Linked DNA regions of Cricetulus griseus. The protein of the gene in region 1 purifies or fractionates together with the protein of each later gene. This does not show direct contact. Links are inferred from orthologs where the notes say so. Each region holds a gene or a part of one and is shown on either strand. Other genes may lie near its edges. The genes, in order: Hnrnph2 and Plod1.

Region 1 (4,145 bases):
GCATGGTCTACAGAGAGAGTTCCAGGACAGCTAGGACTGTTCCACAAAGAAACCCTGTCTCAAAAAAAATACCCATAATGTTTTTGTCAAGTCCTGCTGCAGATTCCACTTTTTTATTTAGGCAGATCACATTTTTTTCCTTACCTCTACTGCTATTTTAGTGAATCTCTTGTCATATCTCTAAGAGGTCATTCTTTAATTTGCTCTTTTGCTCTTTTCATCCAGTCCCCCTTCCTTCTGTTTGAATGCTCCAGTTGCCTGGGTGATAAGTCTGAAAGGGCTGTAATGACATCACTCCTGTTTAAGATCCGTAAAAGGTGCTATATATATAGATATGTATGTATATATATATATATATATTCCCCTCTCCACACCCAGCATCAGAACGGTAAAGTCCCAATGTCTTAAGGTTTGGGGGAGGCACATGTCACACAGTGTTGTGAATACTGAATCATCATGCTTGTGAACCAGAGAAGAGTCTAGCCTCCTATTAAATCAGACCCTCAGGATCTCATCTCTTTTTGACAGCCCTGTCCTTTGCTTTTTGTCCCCTTCCATTTCGTGCTCCATTAAACATTTTTATAAACTGTTTCTGGATCCCTGAACAGGATCAGAATAGTTTGTGTCAATTAACCATTCTGCCTCCAATTGATAACACTTCATCAATCAGTCCTTCCTTTATTTTATCTGTTTGCACTTTCCTTTGGTAAAGGCATACAGTTCTCCTGTAGGACTGTAAGCCCTTTCTGGACTCATTGATTCTTACATGTCAGAATGAGTACTAGACCTGACATCTAAAGCATGCTTGCATATGTAAAGTCCCATTAATGTTTTCAATGTTTTTTTTCCCATTTATCTCTTAGGCATTAATAGTTCTGTATTTTACTGATTTGCATGCATTGTTTATATTCTTGGGATATTAATGGACTTGTATCTTATGAATTTTGTCTTTTGATTTAAAGAAATTTTTGATTTTTATATAATGAGATATAGTTATATTTTATTTATTTTTAATTTTAATTTTCTCTATGATGTTAATGCATTGGGCCAGTGCAGAAAATTTAAAATATTCAAAAAATGTCTTAATATTTTCCATGTATATGTTCATGGAAACAAGTCCTATTGTACTGCTACCCAGAAATAATCATTATTAATTATACCTGATACATAATAGAAATGGAATGAGTAATTGTTAAGTGAGTGAATTAAGTTTTATGCAGTCTTTTTGTTAATGTGGCTATCTTTTTAAAAAGTAACTGATGTGAACTTCTATAATAATAGTTTTCTTTGTTTCTCTTATTGTGTATAATTTTTCATGACAATAGTTTTCTAATTTTTTTAAAGCCACATTGAAATTGCGTTGAGCCAAGCTTGCCACCAAGAGCCCAACAGTCACCATGATGCTGAGCACAGAGGGCAGGGAGGGGTTCGTGGTGAAGGTCAGGGGCCTACCCTGGTCCTGCTCAGCTGAGGAAGTGATGCGCTTCTTCTCTGATTGCAAAATCCAAAATGGTACATCAGGTGTTCGTTTCATCTACACCAGAGAAGGCAGACCAAGTGGTGAAGCATTTGTCGAACTTGAATCTGAAGATGAAGTAAAATTGGCTTTAAAGAAAGACAGAGAAACCATGGGACACAGATATGTTGAAGTATTCAAGTCCAACAGTGTTGAAATGGATTGGGTGTTAAAGCATACAGGTCCAAATAGTCCTGATACTGCCAATGATGGTTTTGTACGGCTTAGAGGACTCCCATTTGGCTGTAGCAAGGAAGAAATTGTTCAGTTCTTTTCAGGGTTGGAAATTGTGCCAAATGGGATGACACTGCCAGTGGACTTTCAGGGGAGAAGCACAGGGGAGGCTTTCGTGCAGTTTGCTTCACAGGAGATAGCTGAAAAGGCCTTAAAGAAACACAAGGAAAGAATAGGGCACAGGTACATTGAAATCTTCAAGAGTAGCAGAGCTGAAGTCCGAACTCACTATGATCCCCCTCGAAAGCTTATGACTATGCAGCGCCCGGGTCCTTATGATAGGCCAGGGGCTGGAAGAGGGTATAATAGCATTGGTAGAGGAGCTGGATTTGAAAGAATGAGGCGGGGTGCCTATGGTGGAGGCTATGGAGGCTATGATGACTATGGAGGCTATAATGACGGGTATGGCTTTGGGTCTGATAGATTTGGGAGAGACCTAAACTACTGTTTCTCAGGAATGTCTGATCATAGATATGGAGATGGTGGGTCCAGTTTCCAGAGCACCACAGGGCACTGTGTACACATGAGGGGGTTACCATACAGAGCCACTGAGAATGATATTTACAATTTTTTCTCACCTCTTAATCCCATGAGAGTACACATTGAAATAGGACCCGATGGCAGAGTTACAGGTGAGGCAGATGTCGAGTTTGCTACTCATGAAGATGCTGTGGCAGCTATGGCAAAAGATAAAGCTAATATGCAGCATAGATATGTGGAGCTCTTCTTGAATTCTACTGCAGGGACAAGTGGAGGAGCTTACGATCATAGCTACGTAGAACTGTTTTTGAATTCTACAGCAGGGGCAAGCGGTGGTGCTTATGGCAGCCAGATGATGGGAGGGATGGGTTTATCTAACCAGTCTAGTTATGGAGGTCCTGCCAGCCAGCAGCTGAGTGGTGGTTATGGTGGTGGTTATGGTGGTCAGAGCAGTATGAGTGGATATGACCAAGTTCTTCAGGAAAACTCAAGTGACTATCAGTCAAACCTTGCTTAGGGAAAGAAGGAACACCAAACAGCTCCAGGAATAAAAGCTGTGCATTTATAGGAACTGGATAGAGTAGGAAGGATACCAAGCATATCCAGTATGATTGGTAAATGGGAAATAAAGTTGCTTCTGATCACTATCGGTCAGCTTTCTTTCTTTTTTTTTTCTCCTTTTTTTAAGAACAAAATTTAAGTTTAACAGTTTTGCATTACAAGCTTGTGATTCATGCTTACTGTAAAGTAAAAGTTAAGATTGTTTTCAAACTTTAAGCTCAGCAGTTTTGAACACTGAAATATTCATCTAGGATGTAATAACAAGTTCAGTATTGACCATAACTGTTAAATCCACTTTCAGCTTTCCTCAAGTTAGTTATGTTGTAGGAGTGTACTTAAGCAGTAAGCATATTTAGGTTTAAAGCAGTTTCACTTACGTTAAATGTTGCTCTTATACCACAATACATCAAAGCCTTCAGATGCATGTTGAGAAACATGCTTTTCTGTAAAAATCAAATATAGGAGCTGTGTCTATGATTCAAAGTGACAACATTTGGCATGTTTGTTAATTCTAGCTTTTTGGTTTAATATCCTGTAAGGCACGTGAGTGTACACTTTCACTTTTTTTTTTTTTAAAAAGATCTGGGATAATTTTGAGATGTAGTACCAATACTTTAGGAGTTTGGTCATGTTGTTTGTATGGAATTCTGAGGCTTTGATTTAAATCTTACCTTGTATTGTGAATTCCATTTAGATGTATTGTACTAAGTGAAACTTGTTAAATAAATCTTCCTTTTAAAAACTGGACAAATCTTGTATAGTTTGATTTTTCTTAAATCATGTTCTGTTACATGGGCACATGGTAACTAACTTTTTAAAAGTTCTCTGCAGTGGGAATGCAAATTTTCAGTTTCCTTTTTTTTGAGACAAGGTCTCTAATATTCCAGGCTGTGAATGACCTTTAAATTCTGCTCCTCCTGCCTCTACCTCCTAAGTATTGGAATTTCAGTCATGTGGCACTGTTTCCAGTTTATGCCTTGGTGGGGAGCAAACCCACACCTTCTTGCATGCAAGACAGCCACTATACCAACAGGGCGACATCCAAAGCCTAAATTTGGATTTATTTATTTATTTATTTGTTTTGTGTGTGTGTGTGTGTGTGTGTGTGTGTGTGTGTGTTCAAATGAATGTGTACACACATGTAAATGAGTGTTGGTAGAAGCCAGAGAAAAACATTGGGTACCCTGTTCTATTGCTCTCTGCCATATTGTCCTGATAACAGGTCTCTCACTGAGCCTGCAGCTAGGCTGGCAGTCAGTAAGTTCCAGTGATCCCCGTGTCTCTGCTGCCCACAGCACTGGGGTTACATGTGTATGAGTACGACTGGCTTTCTACATGGGTGCTGGGGATGTGA
Region 2 (3,813 bases), on another chromosome or scaffold:
TGTGGCTGTGACCTGTGTATGGTGGTGCAGTTCTGTAATCACAGCCCTTGGGAGGCTGAGGCTGGAGGATTTTGTTCTCTTGGCTTTAACTCCTGTTGTCCAGTGGTAGGGGAAGGGGAAGGTCTTACCTGCCTGCCGATGGCCTGCCTGGGATTTGGAGGGAGTTGTTGTTGTTTTTTCTCAGGGGGGTATGTTCTGTTCACCTAGGTAAATGGGAGTCCTGAATAGTGGGCCTGTCCCCCAACCTCCAAGGGCAGAAGTCTGAGTGGCATTCATAGGTTTTGACAGTGGGAAAGGGAAGGGTACTATGATTACTGGCCCTGGGATTCTGGCAAGAAGCCAGCAGCAAGACTCAGGCTGAAGAGGAGCATACACAATCCAAAGAATGAGCCCGCCTCTGGCTGCACAGAACCATGAATCCTGGGCAAGGCATTCCCCTCGCTAGTCAGCCCCACTGACTCCTGTCAGTGTGTGCCAAGTGCCTAGCAGCCCTGAAGGCAGGCACTTTATTGGCCCTATCGCATGAGTCTCAGAGGGGCCAGGGACTTGCCCTGGGTCACAGTTTGCAAGAGGCAGTGCAGGGGTCTAACCAGGCAGGCCAGCTTCTGGTCCCCACTTCTCAGACATCACAGCCTCCCAGTGGGGTCTAGAGGGGCCTCTGGGGGCTCTCACCCACAGATGAAGTCGTGGGAGCTGCTTCTAGCACGTTCTGCTGCAGAGGTGAAGTCACACTGCAGAGCCTGGAGAGGTCCCTTGTTGAGAATGTATTAACAAAGCCAGGCTTGTTGAGTGTGGCAGTGCATGCCTGCACCCTCTGCATTTGGGAGAGGGGACAGGAAGATCAATAGAGAAGGTCAAGGGGAGCTTTGTTACCCATTGAGCTGGATATGGGGCTGGGTTACATGAGACCCCTTTTCAAAATGAGAGGGAGGAAGACAGGGAAGCTAGAACCAGCTGCTCTGGCCACAGACACTGACGGGTGAGGGGATTTCAAGCCGGTTTCCACCCCCAGGCAGCCTGAACTGTAATCATGGCATTGGGAGAGTCAGCCATGCACGCAGGCTTGGGGAAGAGCACAGTGAATGAGTGTGTCCGCCCTCAGTGTACGCATAGAGAGCAAGTGGCCTCATGAACTCTGCACTTGCCTTCCCCGCTCTAATGCCCAGCACTGGCCAGAGAGATCCCCCATGCTCAGCACTCAGGACCTCTCCCTCCATCCCCAGGTGATGCCTGCAGCCTCTAAAGCCAGAGACTTGGTTTCAGAAGGCAGGGTGCAGACGCCCTCTTCTGGGTGCTGCCTGAATACAAGGAGCCCAGGGAATGTCCCAGCTCTGTCCTTAACCCACTGGATGGCCCTGGGCAGAGCCTGAGCCCTAGTCTGTAGTGGTGTGATGACGAAGGCCTCTGTTCAAGACTCATCCTTCTCTGTCCACAGACAACCTTTTGGTCCTCACTGTGGCCACCAAAGAGACAGAGGGCTTCCGCCGCTTCAAGCGTTCAGCCCAGTTCTTCAACTACAAGATTCAGGTGAGGGCTTCCTGGGAAAAGGAGAGACAGTGTGTGTGTGTGTGTGTGTGTGTGTGTGTGTGTGTGTGTGTGTGTGTGTGTGTGTGTATGTGTGTGTGCACGCATGCGCGCCTTGTGAGTGTGTGGTGTTGGGGGATCTAGGGCTTCTCCTTCCCAAAGTCAGGGCTCTTGGAACAGACTCGGGTGCCAAGAGGAGAATGAGTTAGGGTGAAGGGCAGAGTGTGAGCAGGTTTTTGGAGGTGAGAGGGAGAATGGTGTGGAGTGGTACCTGGATGGTCTTGGAAGGTTAGTGTGAATGGTAGGGCCTGGGGACCAACATTCCCACAATCCCCTGGGGCATGTTGGAATGGATGTGGTCTGAAGTCCCCCGGAGAGTGTACACCGTCACAAAGAAACATGTCTGTCTGCCGGGCGTGGGTTCCGTGTCCTCTGTTGGCAGCTCATGGGGCCCAGCCCTGCAGGAGTCAGCCCTCCTTCCCTTCAGCGGACCATTCTGAGCACTTGTCTGTCAGGCACAGTGTTGGGCCCTGGGGACAGAGATGTACTCAACGCCGGCCTCAATATGGCCTACACAGAGCTAGGTGTGAAGCCAGGCAGAAAGCTATCAGCTGCTGTGGATCGTAACGAAGCAGGGAGTTGCTTCAGACAGCTGGATCCAGGGTCCCAAGCAGCAAAGAGTTTCATTTTTCTGTCTCCAGAGACAGATTTTCTCCATCGTGGTAAGGTGCCCCAGACTTCTGCACCCCAACTTTGCAACCTTAGCCCATCGTAACAACCTTGCCTTCATTTTGATACAACAGCCCCAGGGAAGACTTTGATAGGGGGTGTTACATCTTCAAAGCTCGAGCTACAGGAGGGGCAGAGGAATGGGAGGTAGTGATTGGCTATCCCTGGTCACGTGACCACCACTGGCACCATCATCATCACCCGGTATGGTTTCCCTACATTGGGTTGAAAGGAAGCAAAGATGTCCACTCCCCAAACTGGTGGAAGAATATTTCTCTACCAAAAGCTGGGGGCCTCTCTCTGCAGGCCCTGGGCTTGGGGGAGGACTGGAGCGTGGACAGTGGACCCTCGGCAGGCGGAGGACAGAAGGTTCGGCTGCTGAAGAAGGCGCTGGAAAAGCATGCGCACAAGGAAGACCTGGTTATTCTCTTCACTGACAGGTGGGTGTGCTGGGAACTCCTGCTTGCATCCCTGGAGTACAGGGTGGTGTTAGGGGCAGGGGGTCCAAAAAAGACCTGGACATTATGTGTAAGGGAGGCTCCCTCTAACTAAGCTTATCCAAGGTCAGGAGACCCCAGGATGAGTCTCTCTGATGTAGGCCAATACTCCTCTTGGTGAAAGATGGGAGGTGTAAGCTGCCGGAGATGACACATGAGCCATGTGTCATATGACAAGGGCATGCGTTATGGGGACAGTGTCTCTGCCCAGCGTAGGAAACGCAGCAGACTGAGGGAGGGGCTCCTGATCCCTGTGTCCTTCAGTGGGTGCCCTCTTTGGACCCTGCTTCACCTTCTCCCCGCTTTGGCCACAGTTACGATGTGGTGTTTGCCTCGGGGCCCCGGGAACTCTTAAAGAAGTTCCAGCAGGCCAAGAGCCGGGTGGTCTTCTCAGCTGAGGAACTCATCTACCCCGACCGGAGGCTGGAGGCTAAGTATCCGACGGTGTCTGATGGCAAGCGGTTCCTGGGCTCCGGAGGTAAGAGCTATGTGCAGATGTGCACATCGCTGTGAGACATGGGTTCCAAATGCACACAGTCTCAAAGACAGCCTCTCAGGGATGGATGTCTTCCTCGCTTTGTTGAAGAGCCAGCCGTCTGTGCGGGAGAAGCTCAGTCACCCTGACTCCTTCACCTTCCAAATCTCTTCCTCTTCCCAAAGATCTCTAGAGTCCAGTAGCCCAGGCTGGGCTACATGACACTGTGTGTCAAAAAATTTTATTAAAAAGACAGGACTAAAACAAAACAACAACAACAACAACAATGAAAAACCAGGGCTAATGAAATTGCCCAGTGGGCATAAACCTCTTGCCATCAAGCCTGACAATGTGTTTGAACCTTAGACCCACATGACGGAAGGAGAGAAGCAACTCCTGCAAGTTGTCCTCTGACCTACACACACACACACACACACACACACACACACACACACACACACACACACACACACACACGTACACACACACACACACAACTCCCTCACACATACACACACACACACACACACACACACACACACGTACAACTCCCTCACACATACACACACACTCTTATGCTCACACACC

Evidence for each region.
Region 2: the proteins of Hnrnph2 (region 1) and Plod1 purify together in Homo sapiens (affinity purification with mass spectrometry; 3 studies listed by BioGRID and IntAct, counting the BioPlex papers as one, with this or other methods). This does not show direct contact. The link is inferred for Cricetulus griseus from reciprocal best matches to the Homo sapiens genes HNRNPH2 and PLOD1.

What each region holds. Positions count from the first base shown.
Region 1 is NC_048604.1:45,490,472-45,494,616, reverse strand, and holds the end of Hnrnph2 (heterogeneous nuclear ribonucleoprotein H2), read left to right. Parts: intron 1-225; 5' UTR 226-317; intron 318-378; exon of another isoform or gene 379-479; intron 480-1,344; 5' UTR 1,345-1,397; coding exon 1,398-2,747; 3' UTR 2,748-3,538; downstream 3,539-4,145. UniProt on the Homo sapiens protein: This protein is a component of the heterogeneous nuclear ribonucleoprotein (hnRNP) complexes which provide the substrate for the processing events that pre-mRNAs undergo before becoming functional, translatable mRNAs in the cytoplasm. Binds poly(RG).
Region 2 is NC_048595.1:8,532,902-8,536,714, forward strand, and holds part of Plod1 (procollagen-lysine,2-oxoglutarate 5-dioxygenase 1), read left to right. Parts: intron 1-1,435; coding exon 1,436-1,527; intron 1,528-2,559; coding exon 2,560-2,693; intron 2,694-3,064; coding exon 3,065-3,228; intron 3,229-3,813. UniProt on the Homo sapiens protein: Part of a complex composed of PLOD1, P3H3 and P3H4 that catalyzes hydroxylation of lysine residues in collagen alpha chains and is required for normal assembly and cross-linkling of collagen fibrils.